Linked DNA regions of Ovis aries. Each later gene encodes a partner of the first gene's protein in a complex. Links are inferred from orthologs where the notes say so. Each region holds a gene or a part of one and is shown on either strand. Other genes may lie near its edges. The genes, in order: CRNKL1, PPIL2, CWC27, DHX16, PLRG1 and BUD13.

Region 1 (3,500 bases):
ACATACCGCAACTAAGAGTCGATGCAGCCAAATAAATAAATAAATGTAAACACATGTACACACAAAAATGTGCAAATACAGTCTACAAAAAGCCATTTCATTAGATCAGGAACTTACCAGAACTGGTTGACTCGAGGCAGAGTTGTTATGGCTCGGTCCCAGATATTCCGGGCGTGGTTGACCTGGCGATTCTTCATTTCCATTTCGGCATATTTCAGCCATAGTGTAATATTTCGGTAGTCCACATCCAAGGCGCGTTCATATATGGATCGAGCCCTTGAGAAGCCAGATTTGGAGGATATCAGTTACAGCACACGCCACACACCTGGCAACCCCCTCCAAGGCTCGGCTATTTTTTCAGGTGTTTACTGTGAGTGACGTTCTGGGCATAAAAAGGTGAAAAGATATTATGTTCTCAGGAACCTTGTAAGTTTTAGAGAAAGGCTGACATACATGTAACTGCAATGCAATGTGATGTTACAGTGAAGGTCTGCACAAGGAAGCAGAGCGGAAAGAAAGAAAAATGTCAAGTGGAAAAGTTAGTTAAGCAGTAGGTGAGAACTTGGGCAAAGTCCCCAGTACCAAGATAAGTGGGGAGGGGGGGGGTCCCTGCTGGCATCAGGGTGAGGAGACGCGGTGAGTTCTGGGCCTGGCCAGTAGGGAGAACACAGGAAGGTGGGACAACAGGAAGGGTCAGGTCATGATTTCATTTTGTTGGCCACTGGTTTTGAGTGGAACATTAACTCTTAAAAAAAAAAAAAAAAACAAAAACGAATTTCCTAATATGGAGAAAATGGATGGAACTGCACTTCTCTGGCTGCAGAGTGTGTGCTGGTGATGAGACCCACCTGGAGAGCCTGCTTCACTGTTCCCCGCGCAGGACCAGCCCACCATAGCGCTCCTGAGGCCCCTCAAAGGAACCCTAGGGTCCCAAGGAACAAACTCTATAAATTTTTATTTTATTATTATCAGAGGCACACGGTTTTACACTTGCTTTAACTTCTGTGTTTTTGTATCTGGTAACTTAAGGATTTCTATTTACAGAGTTACATGCTCAGTGACTTTACCTCTGAATCTCCTTTAGACTCTCTTCCCATTGTGCATATTTTATCCAGTTACTAATCACAGTCCTGTTTTTTCTTATGTTATCTTCGAAAGTCTGGCAAAAGGCAAAAAGGGTCAAATTAAACGGAAAACAACTAAAGATGACATTGTCTTTTGTCTATTAACCCTTGTACTAAGAAATTTATTCATTTTGCTCTTATTTAAGAGAAATTACATCCTGGGATCCTTGAGAGATAAGAAACCCACTGAAGAAGGTTAAAGTCACAAGTGTTTCTTTAAAATCTTATAGGCAAACAAAGAGGATTTAAAAAAAAATAATCCCACATCCTGGGGTGGGGGAGGTTGGATCAGATCCCCAGGTCCTCTTGGCTCTAGCCCAGGTGTTACCTCTCAGCACAGAAGGCCGCTACAGACAGAAGAACATGGCGCAACCTCACTGCTTCTGCCCCTCCTCAGCTGTCAGTTGTTCTGCCTGGCAAACTCCCACCCGTCTTTGATTCAGCACTAAAAATTCTGTCCGTGGTGGATTTAATGTAAGACAGACAACTCGTGGTTATTTTATGAAGTTTAGCGATAATGGAACCACTTGGTGAGCAGAAGTCACATTACGCAGGTGGCCAGAAACACTAAATTCTTCTTAGTTTATAGTCTCTTATCAGTGAGGAACTTTTCAAACTCTGGTCTATAAATTCTTAATGATATTGACAGACTGAAACAGACCAACCTTCCTCTTCCGTAGTTTGTAATCGTTTAACTCCTCTTCATCTGTGATCTTCTGTTGAGGGGGAGGTGGAAGAAGCTCAAGTTCTCTCTCCTTAGCTTCTCTTAGCAGTTGCTCCGCAGTGATCTGTACTTCAGCTGGGGCTTTGTTTTTCACCTTTTAACACAGGAGACATTTCCATTTTTAGCAGATGCTTTTCACACAACGTGTAAGAAACAAATGAACTTTTTTTAGAATGTGAACTTTATGAACGCTATTACAAGATGCCCCCTTTGCATGACATGCTCCCATTTCTCTATGAAACTAAAAAAAAAACAAAACCACAAACTTTTAAATTTCATGCAAGGTATTTATCACAAAGCCATAGATAAAAGTCTCAAGAGGAAAGGTCGCAAAAACAACATTTCTCTTTTAGAATAGTATAATAAATTTTGAGGATGCCTAGGTAAAACTCTAACCGGACGTCTTATCAAGATGTGCACCATGCCTTAACTGGCATTTCAACCTCTATTTGCAGAATCCTTCAATTTCTGCCTTGGCCCCAGGTGGATAACCGTCTTTGATTTTTCATGGCATTTCAAGTCAAAGACGTATTCAGTAAGTTCCTATCATATAATTAAAATTCATGTCACCTGTTTTGACCTTTTTTTTTTTTTTACTGTAGCTATGACAAAACTTAAAATTACATTAAATTTTTATGGGAACTGTGGAGCCCAACAGAAGTTTATGGAACTGAACTATAAGAAATACTAAGTATTTAATGCCATGTGTGCAATGACGATGCTGAGGGCGCCTATCTAATGAACATTAAGTGCCAGAAACTGTGCTGAGTGCTTTCTATGCACTCTCTCCCGGAATCATCCAAACGGGACCTAAAGGACAGGCTCTAGAGAGTCATCTGAGATGGAGAAAGACGTGAGGGAAGAGTATGTGCAAACGTTTAGGACAAATGCTGTCACATATTAAGCATTCGCTAAGTATTAACCCACTGGAGAAGGCAATGGCAAACCACTTCAGTATTCTTGCCTTGAGAACCCCATGAACAGTATGAAAAGGCAAAATGATAGGATACTGAACGAGGAACTCCCCAGGTCAGTCAGTGCCCAATATGCTACTGGAGATCAGTGGAGAAATAACTCCAGAAAGAATGAAGGGATGAAGCCAGAGCAAAAACAATATCCAGCTGTGGATGTGACTGGTGATAGAAGCAAGGTCCGATGCTGTAAAGAGCAATATTGCATAGAAACCTGGAATGTCAGGTCCATGAATCAAGGCAAATTGGAAGTGGTCAAACAAGAGATGGCAAGAGTGAACGTCGACATTCTAGGAATCAGCGAACTAAAATGGACTGGAATGGGTGAATTTAACTCAGATGACCATTATATCTACTACTGCAGGCAGGAATCCCTCAGAAGTAATGGAGTAGCAATCATGGTCAACAAAAGAGTCCGACATGCAGTATTTTTAATGGTCTCTGTTCGTTTCCAAGGCAAACCATTCAACATCTTGGTAATCCAAGTCTATGCCCAACCAGTAATGCTGAAGAAGCTGAAGTTGAACGGTTCTATGAAGACCTACAAGACCTTTTAGAACTAACACCCAAAAAAGATGTCCTTTTCATTATAGGGAACTGGAATGCAAAAGTAGGAAGTCAAGAAACACCTGGAGTAACAGGCAAATTTGGCCTTGGAATGTGGAATGAAGCAGGGCAAAG
Region 2 (3,500 bases), on another chromosome or scaffold:
GGCCTGGCCTGGGGGAGGCGGCCACCCACCCCCAACACAGACCCTGCCCAGCGTCTTACCGCCCGAAGATGGTGTGCTTCTTGTCCAGGTAAGCGCAGGAACGGAAGGTGATGAAGCTGGGGAAGGACGGGGTGGTCAGGCAGAGCCCACGCCTCCCTACCCGCCTGCCTCAGCACCGCCAGGCCAAGCTCCCACACGGGACGGTGCACTGTCAACAGTCTCAGCCAGGACAGACACACGGACACGACCGGGAGGCTGAGCCCCCGGGGCTGCACCCACAGCCTACGGGAGGAAAACGCATGACCCATGGCAGATGCCCCAGGAGCACACGAACCCCAAAACCTCGCCTGGAGGGGCAGGCTCGCGAGCCGGGCCAGGTGACAGCGCTGCTCACCGGCCCGCACAGCCCGGCCTGGAGGGGCCTGAGTCCACCACCCCTCGAGCTGAGAACGCAAGCGTCCACAAAGCCTCGGCTCTCGGGTGAGGGCCCGAATACACGCCCCTCAGGGACGGAGCGACCGCCCCCCAGAACGAGCCAAGAGAAGCGCCGCTTCAAGCTGTCACAAACCACAAAGCCCCCCAGGAGCAGCTGCCTGCAGGAAGGCAGGGCACCCGTGAGCAGGAGCCGTGAAGTCACATTGAGAAGATAGAAGACGTCCTTGAAAAGCCGAGGCACACCCCCACATGGAGGCTCTCACGCTGCCTGATCCTCTAAAATACACGTCACGCGGCTCCAAATGGAGTCATGTCCACGCCGGAGGATAAACAACTTTAGCAAAGCAGACAGGAGACAGCGCAGGGGCCGCCCTCAGGGGCGCGGGCGCGGGAGGGCAGCCCGAAGCCCCTCCTCGTGGTTGGCGGGAGGTCCCTCTTCTGTGGGCCGCTCCCCAGGGGCCCCGCTGAAGCAGGTACAGAGAAAACCACTGGGAACAAGTCCCCCAGGCCACTGGACGGGGCCCGTCCTGCTCCACTGGTGCCTAAGACAGCCGGGGGCCAACAAGCCACGCCAGGCCGACGGGCACCCTCACCATCCGGCAGCAGCAAAGCCCTGTCCACCCATTGAGGGGCAGCTCCCAGAGGCACCGGGACCACTCAGAGACACGCCCTGTGCCCCCACGGCCTCCCAGACACGCACGAAGGCACAGCTGGGACCCCGCACAAGAGGCGGACTCCAGCGCAGGCCAAAGCACACACCCCCCACCTTCCCATGGACTGTAACATCTGGGAAAGCATCTGAAACATAGCTAAACAGCTCAGTGTCTTGAACACTCCTCCTTCCTGAGGACTGCCGTGGGGAGGCAGCGGCGAGGCTGCGGTGCAGCAGTCCCGGGCGTCCCCTGCCTCCTGCTAACAATGTCGGCCTTAGACAGGCAACGCCTAAGTGCTGGGACGGCCTCCTGGCTCGACAGACACAGGTGGGCACGACCTTGAGGGCAAGGCTGAGAGCCCGCGGAGTCCGCCCCCTGCCCCCATCAACTCACAATTGAGACTTGTTAGTGTTGGGCCCGGAGTTGGCCATGCTGAGCACCCCGCGGCCCGTGTGCGAGAGGTTGGGCCGGAACTCGTCTCTGAAGGGCTTCCCCCAGCACGACTCCCCGCCTGGAAGAGAGGCCGGAGCAGCAGGATGACCGCGACCCGAGCCCCACCCCCAGCTGCTTATGGGGCCCCAGCCCCAGCTGCCCACAGGCCCCCACCCCCAGCTGCCCGTGGGGCCCCACCCCCAGCTGCTCGTGGGGACCCAGCCCCAGCTGCCCACGGGCCCCCACCCCCAGCTGCCCGGGAGCCCCAGCCCCAGGCCCTCAGAATAAACTCCACACGAGGGAGGGTGGTCTGTCCCAAGCGGCCGGCAAGCTGGGGAGCTTTGGAGGAGCAGCCCCCAGTCGGCGGCCAGACGGGGGCCCCTGGGGGCCCGAGGCCTCGCCACAGAGGCGGAGCGAGGAAACGGGGCTGGAGGCGCAGGCTGTGGCTCTGGGCCCGCGGCGCAGCTGGCACCCCAGGGGCCCAGCGCCAGCACCCACCTGTGCCAGTGCCCGTTGGGTCGCCTCCCTGGATCTGTGGGAAGAGCACGCCAGTGAGGAGCCCCGCCATGAGCCCCCAGCTTCTGCTAGGGACAATGGGATCTCCCCCACCAGCTCGATGTGGACAGCTGGGCTGGGGCCCAAGGCCCCTGGAGACCAGGGGCTCAGCACCCCCACGGGGAGGACTCCACACCCGGGGGGGGGCAGCCGGCGTCGGCGCTCACCACGAAGTTGCGGATGGACCGGTGGAAGACGGTGCCGTCGTAGTACTGCTTCTTGCAGAGCCTGATGAAGTTCTCACAGGTTTTCGGGGTCTGCAACAGGCCGAAGGCTCCTGTGAGCCACACAGCAGCCTCGACGGTGGGAGGGGCTCCCGGGGCCCGCAGCCGGGCCTCAGCCGGTGGGCTTGGTGAGCCTGGCCACCTGCGGCGGCACTGGGCTCCCGGTGGGGGGGGGGGGGCACCCACGCACCAGATCGCAGTGCAGCTCCAGGTTGAGGTCGCCCAGGTTGGTGTGCAGCCGAACGTAGCCCTTCTTCTTCACGAACTGGTAGCGCAGCTCGTCCTCGTCAATGGCCGCTACGAGGAGACGCCTGAGCTGCCTGCCTGTCCGGGGTTGGGGACCCAGGGGGAGGGCGGGCACCAGGGGCCAACACGGGGAGAGGAGGAAGGGGCTGGGGGACGGTGGGCCCTGACCAGTGAAGACCAGCAAAGAAGGTCGCTGGGGCCTGGGCGGGGCGGCCCCCCACCCAGACACAAGCCCACTTTCAAAAGGACCCGTCCCCGCCTGACCACTAGTGAGCTGCCGGCAAGCCCACAGAGCCGAGGCGGGCAGGGGGATGCCTGTGCTCAGCCACCGCAGACAGGGAGTGGGGCTAGATACTACCTGCTTCGTGCGTGGTCTCGGGAACCATGGCGGTGGACGTGAAGGAGGCGCTGACCCTCCCGGTGGAGTAGTGGGCCTGCGGGGAAACCGCACCAGCGCTCAGCACGGGGGCCGCCCCTCTGCCCCGGGCCTGCCCTTCGCCTTTCTCCACCACCCCTGGCCGCCAGGGGGCCTCCTGGGCAGACAGTACGCCCAGCCCACGCTGGCCTCTCCCGCAGGGCCCAGGGAGAGCCGCGACCCTCGGCTTCAACCGCACCAAAAGCCTGGCTGCCAAGCCTCGTGTTAAGTGAAACCTGGAAAAGCGTGCCAGGCAGAGTGTGGGCACCTCTGAGGTTCAGAGCACCAGGCACTTGAGGGCCCTTTTAAAGGTTTCAAGGTCCTACAGGAAAAAATCATGCACGATAAAATGTCTTTTTCCTTCTAAACACACAAAAAAGAGATTTCTTCCTATCAGAAGAAAATGCATCAAAATGCTAAGAGCTGCTGTGTTAGGGAGAGCAGTGAACACCACAGCCTGTCTTCAGCACACCTACCTTCCTGGACAACTGTTCAAAGGGGGTCTCCCAGCCCCAGGCCCTGCCTGGTAGGGGCAGGGGC
Region 3 (2,783 bases), on another chromosome or scaffold:
ATATTCTAAAAGTTCCTAAGGGTTTTCTTTTGTAATCCTAGCTTGTCCTAATTTTCTCCCATTCCCCATGGTTGCAGATGAGATTTCAAAGTGGCAGGAGAATGCGAAGTGGGAAAGAATTACTACTCAAGTCAAAACTGCTTGAGTTACATATGAGACCCTTGATTGTTTCCAAAGCATCATTCAAAGCACAATAAAAGTAAATCTGACTTTTAATTGTTACACCTTAGGTAATGAAGGGCCCCTAATAAGGTTCTCTCAATTTATTCTCATTCCTATATCCTTTGGGGAAAAGACTTCTGAGAGTGAGTTGAGCTTAAGGCAAATGAAGCCTTAGTACCAGGAAAAAAAATTCACTAATATTTCTTGTAGCAGATTTAGTACTGCCAGAAAAGGATACCTAAGGTATTATATGTAGAGAACAAACACTGTAATCTTGATGTTATGATGGGGGACATTTCACTGATTAACTTTTTGAATAGTTTGCTATCTACTAACTTTGAAGTATTTCTTACAAAAAGATGGCTGTGGGAAGGTTATATTCAAACACACCTGGATAAATCACCCATTGTTTCGGTGAACTCAACTGTTTTTTCTATCTGATAAGTTACTCAGCCTTGGAGCACTAGAAATACTTACCAAGATCATTAATTATATTTCCCATCATGTACACACTGTGCTCGGGAAGGGCTGCCATAGCCACTGCTGTGAATTGAGAACAGACGAGCTGTCCTATTTGTCTTCCGCACTTCTAGCTTGATTGCATAGGTGTGCTTGACTTTATGCAGTTTCTGTGAAACATTCTGCATATCACAGAACACAGTGAATTTACTTAGGCACTATTACATTAAGGAAGGACTAAGAGATGTGTAATAAAAAATTTAATCCACGTTTTACCATTTTAAAATTGCATTTCCAATAGATGTATTTCATTCTCTAGCTTTCTGCTTTAGGGCAGCATCTAAGTCTGATTTTCAGGAAACAGGCATCAGAATTGTTGGGGAAGTTTGTTAAAAATCTAACAGAAAAAGCAACAGATGCTTGGGCTCCCACCCCAGATCAACAGACTTGTCATTTCTGAGGCCTGGGAAATTGATTTTAACAAGTTTCCTGACCCTTCCACCTCCCCCATGGTGATTTGGAGCACAGCAATATATTTATGGTCTCACATTCTGTGTTGTTTCTCTGGTGGGGGGAGGAGGAAGGAGAGAGAGATGGGAGGGGAGAGAGAGGGAAAGAGAAAGAGAGAAATTCTCGGTTTTGCTCTAAACCATGAACAAAGAGAGAGTAACCTCTGTTGACAGGCAGAGGATGAGATGGTTGGATGGCATCACTGATCCAATGGACATGGGTTTGAGCAAGCTCCGGCAGATGGTGAGGGACTGGCCGGCCTGGCGTGCTGCAGTCCATGGGGCTGCAAGAGTCGGACACAACTGAACGACTGAACAACAGCAACAAGCCTCTGTTGATGGTTTCTTGCCTCCTGAAATGAACAAGGAAACAGTTGAAGAAATCCTGGGTGTTTTTGTAAAGGGCACGCACTGGTTGTGTGGGCTGATAAACCTGGGGCTGAAAACATTTGAAACTGCAAATTTTCAAAACCATGAATATTTGGAATTTTTAAAAATAAATAGGAGCACACTACCATAGTTACCATAGTTTGGATCCTAGTAATTTAGAGTATGTGACTCTTTATCGAGATAAAATCTGCAGAATATCCAAACCAAGAGTCAATGTTCCAAGGTTTCATAAATTTAGGACTTTAAAAGATATATAAATTCTTGAATTCAGCCATTAGTTGTGCCTGTTAACAGGCTTTTATAATGCTTAACTAGGTAATATAGGTACTATATTTATAATTTCTCTTAATCTCATCTAATTTAGTCATACCTCTATAGATCTTAGTTTACATGATATACAGTATAAAGGCAAATTACATCAAAATATTGTCTTTTTTGGCTGAAGTTGTGTCTACCTAATGGTCTTAATCTAGCATTCTCAATCCTTGCATGAAATTGGATTTGAAGGGAAATCATTTAGGTGGCTCTAAAAGGAACAGGGAACCTGGCATAAGAGTTGTGTTTGTGGTCTCCAACCAGGTTCCCTCCGCCTGCAGGCCTGGCTCTGGCCTCTGGATGGAGGTGCGTGGGGGAGGTCTCTTGGGGATCCCGGCTTGGTTTACTACTGTGGCGAGGCTGACGGCAGCTGCTTTCCCAGGCCTGGAGGCTTCCACCCTTGGGGTGATGTGCAGTTTCACCCCCTTGTCTAGCCCATCATGACTTCCTGTTCTTTCTCTGTAATGTTTTTCAGATCCGCTCCTTCCTGTTTCTTTCCCCCGCCTGATTCTGGTCCAGGCTCTAATTACCTCACACACACCTGCACTCTACTCACACATCCTCTTTCCTGTCTACAACTTTTCCTCTCACCATATTTTTTCCTTCACATGGTTGTTAGCATCCTCTTCCTTAAGCATCCTTTCCATCACACGCCTCTTCCAGCAGCTCCCAGTTGCATCAAATGCAAGCTCCAGTCCTCCCTCACTGCCCAGACCATTATCTCCTTGACAGCTGGACCCCACTCCAGCCAAACAAATGTCCTGACACGATGTCTCTACAATGCTGCAACATCTGGTTAATTCAGTCAACTCTGTCAAATCTTCAGTTAATCATCTGGATGTTTTGTCTACAGGACGCCAAACATCTGGATTGACTGAAGAAATCTATGCTGATAGGGTTGTTGTTTTTTTTTAAACTGAATTGGCCAGATGTTTTGGCATCCTGTAG
Region 4 (4,091 bases), on another chromosome or scaffold:
AAATGTTTAGTTTCCCAACACAGTGTCAGATAAATCCAATTAATTGTACAAGTATGAAGCAGAACCAGAGGCCAGACAGCAGTCAAGCAACAAGTTCTGCTTATTTAAAATTAAGCAGACACCAGTGACTTTCTCAAGCTGTTAGCAAAAGAAAAAAAAAGCAGAATACAATTTGCATATTTCTTAGTTTGCAGATCTTTTAAAATAACATTATGAGATAGCACCAAGAAAAGAGGGTACCTTTGCTTGTTCTCCACATCTTGAGTTTTCATCTGCCTGGAGTCCTTGATAAGCCTAACCTGTATTCATGTCTTGCAGAAGGTCCTAGCAAAGGTCACTCCTAATTAGTTGATCTGTAACAAGCATGGACCTGATCTTCTAATTTGAATGCCCCACCCCACAAGCGCCCACACACACCTTGCATTATTTTTGGCTCCATATAACTTAGTATTTTATATTTTTATCTTGTCTCTGTCAGGCTGGTCCCCACCCCCAACCCTCTGCCACTGTAAATTCAGTAAGCGATTTGTTTCTGATTTGTTCCTTGCTATATCCCTGGGTACTAAAACTGTGCCTGGCCCACACTGAAAGTGTTGGTCGCTCAGTTATGTCCGACTCTTTGTGACCCCATGGACTGTAGTAGGCCAGGTTCCTCTGCCCATAGAATTCGCCAGGCAAGAACACTGGAGTGAGCTACCATTTACTCCTCCAAGAGGGTCTTCCCCACCCAGGGATAGAACCTAGGTCTCCTGCATTGTAGGCAGATTCTTTCCTACCTGAGCCACCGGGCATTTTGCTGCTGCTGCTGCTAAGTCGCTTCAGTCGTGTCTGACTGTGTGACCCCATAGAGGGCAGCCCACCAGGCTCCCCCATCCCTGGGATTCTCCAGGCAAGAACACTGGAGTGGGTTGCCATTTCCTTCTCCAATGCATGAAAGCGAAAAGTGAAAGTGAAGTCGCTCAGTCGTGTCCGACTCTTCGCGACCCCATGGACTGCAGCCTACCAGGCTCCTCCATCCATGGGATTTCCCAGGCAAGAGTACTGGAGTGGGGTGCCATTACCCACCTGAGCCACCAGGCACTTTAGGTTCTTAATATAGTTGAATGAAATGAATGGGTGTAATACTCACGAATGATCAACAGAGGGCAACAGAAATTCAGTAGGGGAAGAAATGAAAATGTTTTATTCCGAGCTTCGCGTACAATTACGCGAGATTTGAACTCGCTCGGCCACCGTAGTGCATAGGCCGGAAAAGAGCAGCCACTTCCGGCCTCAGCGGTCCAGGAAGATTGTTTTGGACTATCGGAAACCGAACCCCTCGGTTCTCAGGCAGCTCCATTCCGGAGCAGAGGCTCCATCCTGGAGCTCTAGGCCCCCGACCCGCCCGGCCGCCGACGTGGCAGCTGGAGACACTTTCAGGGCCGGGAATAGGGAGCGTGTTGTCGCCATGGCGACACCGGCGGGGCTGGAGCGCTGGGTGCAAGACGAGCTGCACTCGGTGCTGGGACTGAGCGAGCGGCACGTGGCCCAGTTCTTGATCGGTACCGCGCAGCGCTGTGCCTCGGCAGAGGAGTTCGTGCAGCGCTTGCGAGACACCGATACCCTGGACCTCAGTGGGCCGGCCCGGGACTTCGCCCTGAGACTCTGGAACAAGGTGCTGGGAGAGGCGGGACCGGGCGTGGGAGCGGCGGGAAAGTGGGTGGAGCAGGGGAGGGGCCCCCAGGTTACTTGTCCAACGGAGTTTGGGCTCACTTGGGCTAACTGTCCAACGGAGAATTAAGCTCAGTTTGCAAGCAGTTATCACTTTCGGGCTGGACGACCACTTCCGTGGAGAAGGTTGAGGAGGGCTTAAGGGTTGACTCATTGGAAAAGACTGATGCTGGGAGGGTTTGGGTGGGGGCAGGAGAAGAAGGGGACGACAGAGGATGAGATGGCTGGATGGCATCACGGACTCAATGGACGTGAGTCTGAGTGAACTCCGGGAGTTGGTGATGGACAGGGAGGCCTGGCGTGCTGCGATTCATGGGGTCGCAAAGAGACGGACACGACTGAGCGACTGAACTGAACTGAACTGAACTAAGGGTCTACAGAGCAGTGTTTCTCAAACAGGTTTAGGATTCATCCACGGCTTTTGTTAAAATGAGGATTCCGATTCGGTAGGTCTGGGATGGTTTCTTCATTTCTTCATTTCTAACAAATCTTGTAAGTTTTCGGGTGATGCTGGGTGTTGCCCACCCTTCGAAGAGTGAGTCTATAGAAGAGATGTGTGGGCAGTGTTGTGGGAGGGTAGAAGTGGTGTGGCTGTGATCGAGAAAAGCAGGCCCAAAGATTATCTGGAGTTTGTTGGGTAAAGAAAGGGGAAGAGTAAAGGTGTAATGGTGAGCTCCTGGAAGGCAAGACTGTGATTTTTGTCTTTGTATTCATACCATCTAATTGTAACCTGCAGAACAAGAGCTCAGAAATTATACAGTAAGACTAAAAGTGTTGAACTTGTTCATGGCAGATAACTTGGTGTGGCTGTCCCATTTGCACTTGGTGAAAGATGAGAACGTACTTGATGTGAGGGTAGGAGCTCTGTGTTAATCCGTTCACCAGGGTATCTCTGGAGGCCACTACAGTGCTGGCCCGTGACAGGGCTCTGCAAAACAATCTGGACAATCCTTGTCCAGTCCTTGGGTAGGAATGACTTAGTCATCGGGAAGAACAGAGGCTGAGCAGTTGAGAATTGAGTGTGAGAATGTAAAGTCCATGAGGGCAGAAAGTTTTATCTCTTTACCCCTATATCTCTAGTACCTAGCAGGGGGTGCATGGGATAGGCTTAGGAACTGAGAGACCCCATTCGGGCTGATGGACATGGTGTGAAGCCTTGGGGAAGAGACAGAATGACAGCTGGTTTAAGATCAGTTACTCCTTAAATTAGGAACTGGGCAGAGTAGGTGGGCAGAGATCAGGAGTTGCTTACATCCCCTTGACTTCTCTCTCTCCCGACAGGTCCCACGGAAGGCAGTGGTGGAAAAGCCAGCTCGGGCAGCCGAGCGAGAGGCCCGAGCCCTGCTGGAAAAGAACCGCTCTTATATGTTGTTGGAGGACAGTGAGGAGAGCAGCGAGGAGACTGTGGGCAGGGCTGGGAGCAGTGTCCAGAAGAAGCGGAAAAAACGGAAACACCTCAGGAAGAAACGTGAGGAGGAAGAGGAAGACGAGGAGGAGGAACAAGTTTCTGAGAAAGGAAAGAGGAAGACAGGGTAAGTCAGAAGTAGGGGGCGAGAGGGTGATGGAACAGGAAGCCTCTGAGTGCCCTCAGTTAATCCTCCGGGGTGGGCTGCAGGGAGAAGAAAGAGCAGACGGAAAAGCCGGAGTCGGAGGATGAGTGGGAGCGGACAGAGCGAGAGCGCCTTCAGGACCTGGAGGAACGCGATGCATTCGCTGAGCGGGTTCGGCAGCGGGACAAGGATCGGACTCGCAACGTCCTGGAGCGGTCAGACAAGAAGGTGCATTGGAGCAGCACTTCCCATCAGTCCCCAGGCAGACCCCTGGATCCGATCTGAGGTTGGGTGTGACCGCAGATAGTGATCTCTGGGAAGACAAGGAGCCGCCTCCAGTAGTCTGGTCATCTCTTTGGGTCTTTGGGCTAAGGTGGCTCTCTGCTGAACCTGTAACCACAGAGATTCCTCAGTGAAGGGGGTACATTTCTTTGTGCTAGGGAACATCTGAGTGATCCTTGTGATTCTAGACAGGAATGGCTGTGGGCACGGGGACTTTGACCACTCTTGCCTTCTCCTAGGCTTACGAAGAGGCTCAGAAGCGCCTCAAGATGGCTGAGGAAGACCGGAAAGCCATGGTGAGTCCGTGTGCCCAGGAAGACAAAGGGAAAGGCTTCCTGATGGAGTGGTTAGGGTAGGGAGGAAAGATGCAGAGGAGGTGTGGTGGGGCTGTTGGGTCTCTGGTTGAGGCGCCAGCTAAGGATAGACTTAAACTGTAGTGGGAAGGAAGTGGCCCAGAAACCCTCTGACTCCTTAGGATCAGATCAGACTGTATGTTAGTGAGGGAAGTATTTCCCTGTTCCTGGGACTTAAAGAGGTGTACTCAAAAGG
Region 5 (3,500 bases), on another chromosome or scaffold:
ATTCTTTCAAAATACCTGGTTGATTTTAATTATTAAATGTAATCAACGCTTAATCTGAAGAGCCAGAACAACTGTGAAGACAAATGCATAACGTCATTCCTAGTGGAGAGGAAGGCAAAGACTCTCATGATTATTTGAACAAAACAAGGGAAGGAATTATTTTCTAGTCTTGAAGATTCATTGCTATTAACCATATTTTAAGCAAAGCAAGACTCAGATCAGTCCTAAAAGTCAGGGGTAGTGCGTCTTCTAACATTAATTTCTTAGACTGCTAATTTTGAAAGTATAAAACAGCACTTAGTTGTATCTAACAGCACTACTTTCTAGTCAGACATTACATGATACAAAGATTCTATGATATATAAAACTTATGATATAAAAACAGAATTAAATGTTACCACAATAAATTTCAAGTGCACACAGAAACACTAAATATACAACACAAAGCAAGAATCAGAGTAAACATAAGAAGTATATAACCATAATGCATCCTGATATGAATATACCGTAAACTTGAGAAGTATGGATCATACCAGTGATAATTTGTGGTTCCGCAGCCTGACACCTCACTGTAGCCACCGCATTAGTATGTCCAGATAATGTGTGTACACTGGCTTTAGTTCTCACATCCCAAATCTATAAAAACAGCACACAATACCTCAATGAAAACAGGTATTCCTATCTTCAGGCAAGTAACAAGATCAATTCAAGCATGGGAATTGACTAGAAAACTGTGTGGACCTGTCTGAATAGAATGAAGAAAGTGTGTAAATGAAATAACCTGTCACATTTCGGGGGCAGGCGCCCAACAGTGGACATGGCGAGGCCACAGAGCTGGGGATGAAGACTAGGAGGGATACTGACGGGTCAAAGTAAGGATCTTGAAATTCTCTATCCAGAAACACAGACCTCAGGATCGAGCCAGCACCCTGCAGGAGGCCGTGTATGCACAGACGGGCTCCAGTGCACTCACCCGTGCGGTTGAGTCTCGGCTACAGGTCACCAGCACATCGATGGTCGGGTGCAAATCCAAGCCGTACACGGCACTCAGATGTCCATGATAGTGCCTTATAACCTAAAAAAGAAGGGAGGAGAGTTAACATATCTGTAACTGGGAAGATAAACAGGGGCTCATGATGATTTCTGTCCTCAACTCCACACATACCTTATTATACTCGAGATCCCAGCATTTGACTTGCTTGTCTTCTCCACAGGAGAACAGGTACGGGCTCCTCGTGCTCACTATCACACCACGTACTGTGCTTATGTGCCCAGTTAACGAGAGTTTCAACTTGCCACTAGCCAAGTCCCAGATCTGCAATCAAAAAATGCTTAATTTTATTCTTGCTGATTATTTCAAAGCAAATGTTTAGAATCTTAATGTGAAAATTGTCTTCAAAAGTGAAAGACAAAAACATATAAAAATATCAAAGTTTGCAAAATAACTCTATCACCAAAAATAAAAACAGGAGAAAGAGAATTAAAAGGCATGCTCAAACTGGGAAGGTATTTGCATAGATGACAAAAAGTCCTTAATATATAAAGGGTATTGAGCCAAAGAATGAATACTGAGGTATTAAATTAGTCAAGGATGGCATCAACTTAAAAAAAAAATCCTGCAAAGTAGCAAATAAAGTATTAAAAAGTTCAACCTCACTACAAATTTTATATATAGTTTTCCTTTTTAAAGATTAGATATTCCTTTCTACTTATATTAGTGTGCTAAGTTGCTTCAGTCACGTTCAACTCTTTGCGACTCTATGGTCTGTAGCCTGCCACGCTCCTCTGTCCATGGGATTCTCCAGGCGAGAAACTGGACTGGGTTGCTATGCCCTCCTCCAGGGGATCTTCCCAACTCTGGGATCAAACCCACATCTCCTACACTGCAGGCGGATTCCTTACCGCTGAGCCACCAGGGGAGCCCATCATATTAGTAGGTATTTTCGAAGAAACGTAAGTAATGTCCTGAAAAGGATCCTCTCATATGCTGTAAGCATCAATTCACCCAGTTTGGAAAATAATTTAACTTTTGGATATCAACTTCAAGAATGTCTGACCTTTTAATACTTTTTCTGGCAAACAAGAACAAAGCAATACAGAAAATACAGAAAAACAATACAGAAAATTTAAAATACAGAAAAAGCTTTCAGTTCAGTTCAGTCACTAGTTGTGCCCGACTCTTTGCGACCCCATGAATCACAGCACGCCAGGCCTCCCTGTCCATTACCAACTCCAGGAGTTCACTCAGACTCACATCCATCGAGTCAGTGATGCCATCCAGCCATCTCATCCTCTGTCGTCCCCTTCTCCTCCTGCCCCCAATCCCTCCCAGCATCAGAGTCTTTTCCAATGAGTCAACTCTTCGAATGAGGTGGCCAAAGTACTGGAGTTTCAGCTTTAGCATCATTCCTTCCAAAGAACACCCAGGGCTGATTTCCTGCAGAATGGACTGGTTGGATCTCCTTGCAGTCCAGGGGACTCTCAAGAGTCTTCTCCAACACCACAGTTCAAAAGCATCAATTCTTCAGTGCTCAGCTTTCTTCACAATCCAACTCTAGCATCTATACATGACCACTGGAAAAACCATAGCCTTGACTAGATGGACCTTTGTTGGCAAAGTAATGTCTCTGCTTTTGAATATGCTATCTAGGTTGGTCATAACTTTCCTTCCAAGGAGTAAGCGTCTTTTAATTTCGTGGCTGCAGTCACCATCTGCAGTGATTTTGGAGCCCAGAAAAATAAAGTCTGACAGTTTCCACTGTTTCCCCATCTATTTCCTGTGAGGTGATGGGACCAGATGCCATGATCTTCGTTTTCTGAATGTTGAGTTTTAAGCCAACTTTTTCACTCTTCTCCTTCACTGTCATCAAGAGGCTCTTTAGTTCCTCTTCACTTTCTGCCATAAGGGTGGTATCATCTGTATATCTGAGGTTACTGATATTTCTCCTGGCAATCTTGATTCCAGCTTGTGCTTCTTCCAACCCAGCGTTTCTCATGATGTACTCTGCATATAAGTTAAATAAGCAGGGTGACAATATACAGCCTTGATGTACTCCTTTTCCTATTTGGAGCCAGTCTGTTGTTCCATGTCTAGTTCTAACTGTTGCTTCCTGACCTGCATATAGGTTTCTCAACAGGCAGGTCAGGTGGTCTGGTATTCCCATCTCTTCCAGAATTTTCCACAGTTTATTGTGATCCACACAGTCAAAGGCTTTGGCATAGTCAATAAAGCAGAAATAGATGTTTTTCTGGAGCTCTCTTGCTTTTTCCATGATCCGGTGGATGTTGGCAATTTGATCCCTGGTTCCTCTGCCTTTTCTAAAACCAGCTTGAACATCTGGAAGTTCACGGATCACATACTGCTGAAGCCTGGCTTGGAGAATTTTCAGCACTACTTTACTAGCATATGAGATGAGTGCGATTGTGCAGTACTTTGAGCATTCTATGGCATTGCCTTTCTTTGGAACTGGAATGGAAACTGACCTTTTCCAGTCCTGTGG
Region 6 (3,500 bases), on another chromosome or scaffold:
AAAGGCAGATGCTATTTAGGAAATCTGCTCCTTGCAAGTTCCCCTGGACTGAGTCAGACAGTCTTGCCTTCAGAGAGAAGAAAAGCGCTCTAGAGGTCCTGTGAGCTAGATTTCTCTGGCCTGGATCTCTGAGACCTGTACAGAGCTAGGAGATGAGTTCCTCTAAACCAAGACATGGCTCCTGAAAGTTCTTACCTTCTTTCCCAGAGGCTGGCTCCTTCGAGGTGGAGACAGATCAGAATCAGAAGATTTGGCCCTCTGCCTTCTCCTTGGTGGAGAGAGGTCAGAATCAGAGCTCCGATGCCTAGGTCTATTCCGCGGAGGTGACAGATCGGAATCGGAATCCTGGGGCCCTGAACTCTGTTTGTGCCGTGGAGGAGAAAGATCTGAATCAGAGGTTTTCCTACTGTCCCCTGGGTAGGAAGAAGAGTCCAATGTGTGACTCTGATGTTTCCTGGGTGGAGAGCTTGTATGATGTTTCTTATGGGTGGGGGAAGAGCCTAGAAATTGAAGAGTAAAGATTTTAATCCCCTTGGCAGAATCTAAAAAATAATGTACCAGGCTAATGTTCAACATTCATTTAGTCCTCTTGTGAGGAACTATCACTAACCTAAACGTAAGTATAAATGACAAGGGGGAAGAGCAAAGTCAGAGATAACTTTTAAAACCAATGGGTGGGGTTCTATTCCCAAGTTACTAGTTACTAGCACTAGTTACTGTGACTAGCACAAGACATCTCAACATCCTCATCTGTGCCCTATTTACCCACACATAGAGTGGCCAAAACAAACTGAACTCAGGGCTCAGTGGCGTTGTTAGTCGCTCAGTCGTATCCGACTCTTTGAAACCCCATGGACTGTGGTCCTCCAGGCTCCTCTTCCATGGAATCTTCCAGGCAAGAATACTGGAGTGGGTTGCCATTCCCTTTTCCAAGGGATCGTCCTGATCCAGGGATTGAACCCAAGTATTCCACATTGCAGGCAGATTCTTTTACTATCTGAGCCACCCAGGAAGCCCTAGCAAGTTAAGATGACCTAGAATATATTAGAATATATTCTGGGTTTCCCTGGTGGCGCAGATGGTAAAGAATCTGCCCGAATGCAGGAGACCCAGCTTTGATCCCTGGGTCACGAAGATCCCCTGGAGGAGGAAGTGACAACTCACTCCAGTATTCTACTGGAGAATTCATGGACAGAAGAGCCTGGTGGGCTACGGTCAGAAAGAGTCAAACACAAGTGAGTGACTAACACACACACACAGAATATATTCTGAGGTCTTCTGACTAAAACATAACAATGTATTTGAATTAAAAACTAAAGCAGTACCTAGGGACAAACGATGGAGCAAACAAGTTTCATCACACAGGTGAGCTGTAGACATAGGCATCACAAATCACCTCCTCCAAAGGCAATCTGCAATACCTATCAACAGTCCTATAAGCAAAGAACCCGGCTGAGCCAGCAAATCAATTTCTACTTTGTACCCTAGGAAACGTATCTAGCAGCACTTCAATTCCCAGAAAGTCTATCTAGAAATAGATACGGAAATCCAGAACAGAGCAACAGTTTGTGTATAAGGATGTTCATTACAGAATTACAGAGGAAAAGGTTTAGAAATAACCTAAAATATGCAATATTAGGGGAATGGTTACTGGAACACCAACAAAAACTATATTAACAAAGAGATATTTTATGACTCAGGAAAGATAATGCTAAGTGAAAAAAGCAAGCAAGATTACACATGCAATATTTACTTACTGCCTAGACACGTCCAAACTACATCAAAAATGATTAGAAAAGAAGACTAAAAGAACACTGGCTACAAGAGAGAGACTGCCTCTGACTGGACAGAATTGTGTGTGATCCTTTTCTACATTTCTATACATTCCAAAGTTTCTGCAACAAACATGTAGTATTTTCATGGGGTGGGGAAAATGAACAAAAAAATATATATATAAACTTCTACCCTACTACTATTAATTTTTAACTCTCTTCAGCCCAATCTCTCACTATTTCCCTCCAGTTTTTAAAACTCCAAAGCTCCATTCTCATTTCTAAAGACCACAAATACCTAGTAAAGCAACTAAAAGTTCCAAAAGAAAGCACTCTAGGAACAAGTCCCTCTCATGGACAAATGCTCACCTTTAGAATCATGTTGCTTACTTCCAACATGGGATGTTGCCTGCTTTTTTCGTGAAGGAGAGAGGTCTGAGTCATACTCATATTTGCTATTCTTTGGGAGTGATGGATGAGAAGGTCCTGGCCCCTTCCAATGTGGAGAAGTTTTGCTAGAGCTTTCTGGGGCTTCACTGCTTTTGGTTCTGAGCAGTGAGTGAGGAACATTAGCAGCCAAGTCAGTGGAATTATGATGGGCCCTCCTGAGCTGTGATCTATCCACAGAGTCAAGAGTCCTTCTAGGTTGAGCTGTGTCAGGGGAGCAATTACGGGCCCTTCTGGCAGGAGAGAGATCTGAGAAACTGTGGTAGGTCCTCCTAGGAGAAGATGAATCTGGGATGTCATGACGGGTCCTTCTAGGAGGAGATGGATCTGGGGTATCATGACGAACCTTCCTAGGAGGGGAAGAATCCGGAGTGTCATGACGAACCTTCCTAGGAGGAGATGAATCCGGGGTGTCATGACGGGCCTTCCTAGGAGGAGATGGATCCGGGGTGTCATGACGAACCTTCCTAGGAGGAGATGGATCCGGGGTGTCATGACGAACTCTTCTAGGAGGAGATGGATCTGGGGTGTCATGACGAACTCTTCTAGGAGGAGATGGATCTGGGGTGTCATGACGAACCTTCCTAGGAGGAGATGAGTCCGGGATGTCATGACAGAACTGTCTGTGTGAGGGTATATCTTCACTCTGGCCTAAACACAAATAGCAAAGAATCAGATTCCCACAAATGCTCTGCCACCCCTACAACCAAAGTTTCAAAAAACACCCCAGCAGGATACATCTCAAAACTACTAAGAAAGCCCAAAAGATACGCACAGCTACTTCAGGGCAATAAAGTAGCACTCATGAATATCCTAAGAAAAACCACTCACGTTTGCCTAACAGGTCATAATCTGCAAGGCACTTTAAATGTATTTTTCATGTTGTATCTTGTTAGGCAAGCAGGGCAGGTACCCTTGTTTTACAGACATGAAAACAGAGACCCTAAGAAGCTGAGTGGTCTCCTACCTAGGGGTCACTGCTACTAAAACGAAGAGACAGGCTAGAACCCTGAACTTCTAATCCCAATCCAGTGCTCTTCCCCAAACCTTACTTGTATGGAATTCTCCATGAGAAGCTCCCACTGATATCTAACTTAGGCAATTCAGTTTGCACCCACTCTTCTCTCAAAAGGCAAACTGAATAATTCCATGCCACATCAAAATGAAATCCTGTGAGCTATTTAATCCATGCCATTGTGCTCCTTATCAAAAGCAGCAAGAGCACCAGAAAGAAAGAAGGATCAGCACTTTACTGATCACCTGCTGCATGCCCATGTCTAT

Evidence for each region.
Region 2: CRNKL1 (region 1) and PPIL2 share a complex: the UniProt entries of both Homo sapiens proteins name them as parts of the minor spliceosome. The link is inferred for Ovis aries from reciprocal best matches to the Homo sapiens genes CRNKL1 and PPIL2.
Region 3: CRNKL1 (region 1) and CWC27 share a complex: the UniProt entries of both Homo sapiens proteins name them as parts of the minor spliceosome. The link is inferred for Ovis aries from reciprocal best matches to the Homo sapiens genes CRNKL1 and CWC27.
Region 4: CRNKL1 (region 1) and DHX16 share a complex: the UniProt entries of both Homo sapiens proteins name them as parts of the minor spliceosome. The link is inferred for Ovis aries from reciprocal best matches to the Homo sapiens genes CRNKL1 and DHX16.
Region 5: CRNKL1 (region 1) and PLRG1 share a complex: the UniProt entries of both Homo sapiens proteins name them as parts of the minor spliceosome. The link is inferred for Ovis aries from reciprocal best matches to the Homo sapiens genes CRNKL1 and PLRG1.
Region 6: CRNKL1 (region 1) and BUD13 share a complex: the UniProt entries of both Homo sapiens proteins name them as parts of the minor spliceosome. The link is inferred for Ovis aries from reciprocal best matches to the Homo sapiens genes CRNKL1 and BUD13.

The regions. Positions count from the first base shown.
Region 1 is NC_056066.1:39,178,476-39,181,975, forward strand, and holds part of CRNKL1 (crooked neck-like protein 1), read right to left. Parts: intron 1,943-3,500; coding exon 1,790-1,942; intron 1,160-1,789; coding exon 1,068-1,159; intron 277-1,067; coding exon 118-276; intron 1-117. UniProt on the Homo sapiens protein: Involved in pre-mRNA splicing process. As a component of the minor spliceosome, involved in the splicing of U12-type introns in pre-mRNAs.
Region 2 is NC_056070.1:72,121,805-72,125,304, forward strand, and holds part of PPIL2 (RING-type E3 ubiquitin-protein ligase PPIL2), read right to left. Parts: intron 2,980-3,500; coding exon 2,904-2,979; intron 2,597-2,903; coding exon 2,490-2,596; intron 2,333-2,489; coding exon 2,243-2,332; intron 2,053-2,242; coding exon 2,019-2,052; intron 1,600-2,018; coding exon 1,482-1,599; intron 117-1,481; coding exon 60-116; intron 1-59. UniProt on the Homo sapiens protein: Has a ubiquitin-protein ligase activity acting as an E3 ubiquitin protein ligase or as an ubiquitin-ubiquitin ligase promoting elongation of ubiquitin chains on substrates.
Region 3 is NC_056069.1:14,570,939-14,573,721, forward strand, and holds part of CWC27 (spliceosome-associated protein CWC27 homolog), read right to left. Parts: intron 1,484-2,783; coding exon 1,099-1,483; 3' UTR 1-1,098. UniProt on the Homo sapiens protein: As part of the spliceosome, plays a role in pre-mRNA splicing. Probable inactive PPIase with no peptidyl-prolyl cis-trans isomerase activity. As a component of the minor spliceosome, involved in the splicing of U12-type introns in pre-mRNAs.
Region 4 is NC_056073.1:27,451,630-27,455,720, forward strand, and holds the start of DHX16 (pre-mRNA-splicing factor ATP-dependent RNA helicase DHX16), read left to right. Parts: upstream 1-1,291; 5' UTR 1,292-1,447; coding exon 1,448-1,654; intron 1,655-2,991; coding exon 2,992-3,242; intron 3,243-3,325; coding exon 3,326-3,488; intron 3,489-3,781; coding exon 3,782-3,838; intron 3,839-4,091. UniProt on the Homo sapiens protein: Required for pre-mRNA splicing as a component of the spliceosome. Contributes to pre-mRNA splicing after spliceosome formation and prior to the first transesterification reaction.
Region 5 is NC_056070.1:3,080,058-3,083,557, reverse strand, and holds part of PLRG1 (pleiotropic regulator 1), read right to left. Parts: intron 1,316-3,500; coding exon 1,166-1,315; intron 1,076-1,165; coding exon 974-1,075; intron 637-973; coding exon 534-636; intron 1-533. UniProt on the Homo sapiens protein: Involved in pre-mRNA splicing as component of the spliceosome. Component of the PRP19-CDC5L complex that forms an integral part of the spliceosome and is required for activating pre-mRNA splicing.
Region 6 is NC_056068.1:27,154,194-27,157,693, forward strand, and holds part of BUD13 (BUD13 homolog), read right to left. Parts: intron 2,871-3,500; coding exon 2,142-2,870; intron 501-2,141; coding exon 196-500; intron 1-195. UniProt on the Homo sapiens protein: Involved in pre-mRNA splicing as component of the activated spliceosome. As a component of the minor spliceosome, involved in the splicing of U12-type introns in pre-mRNAs.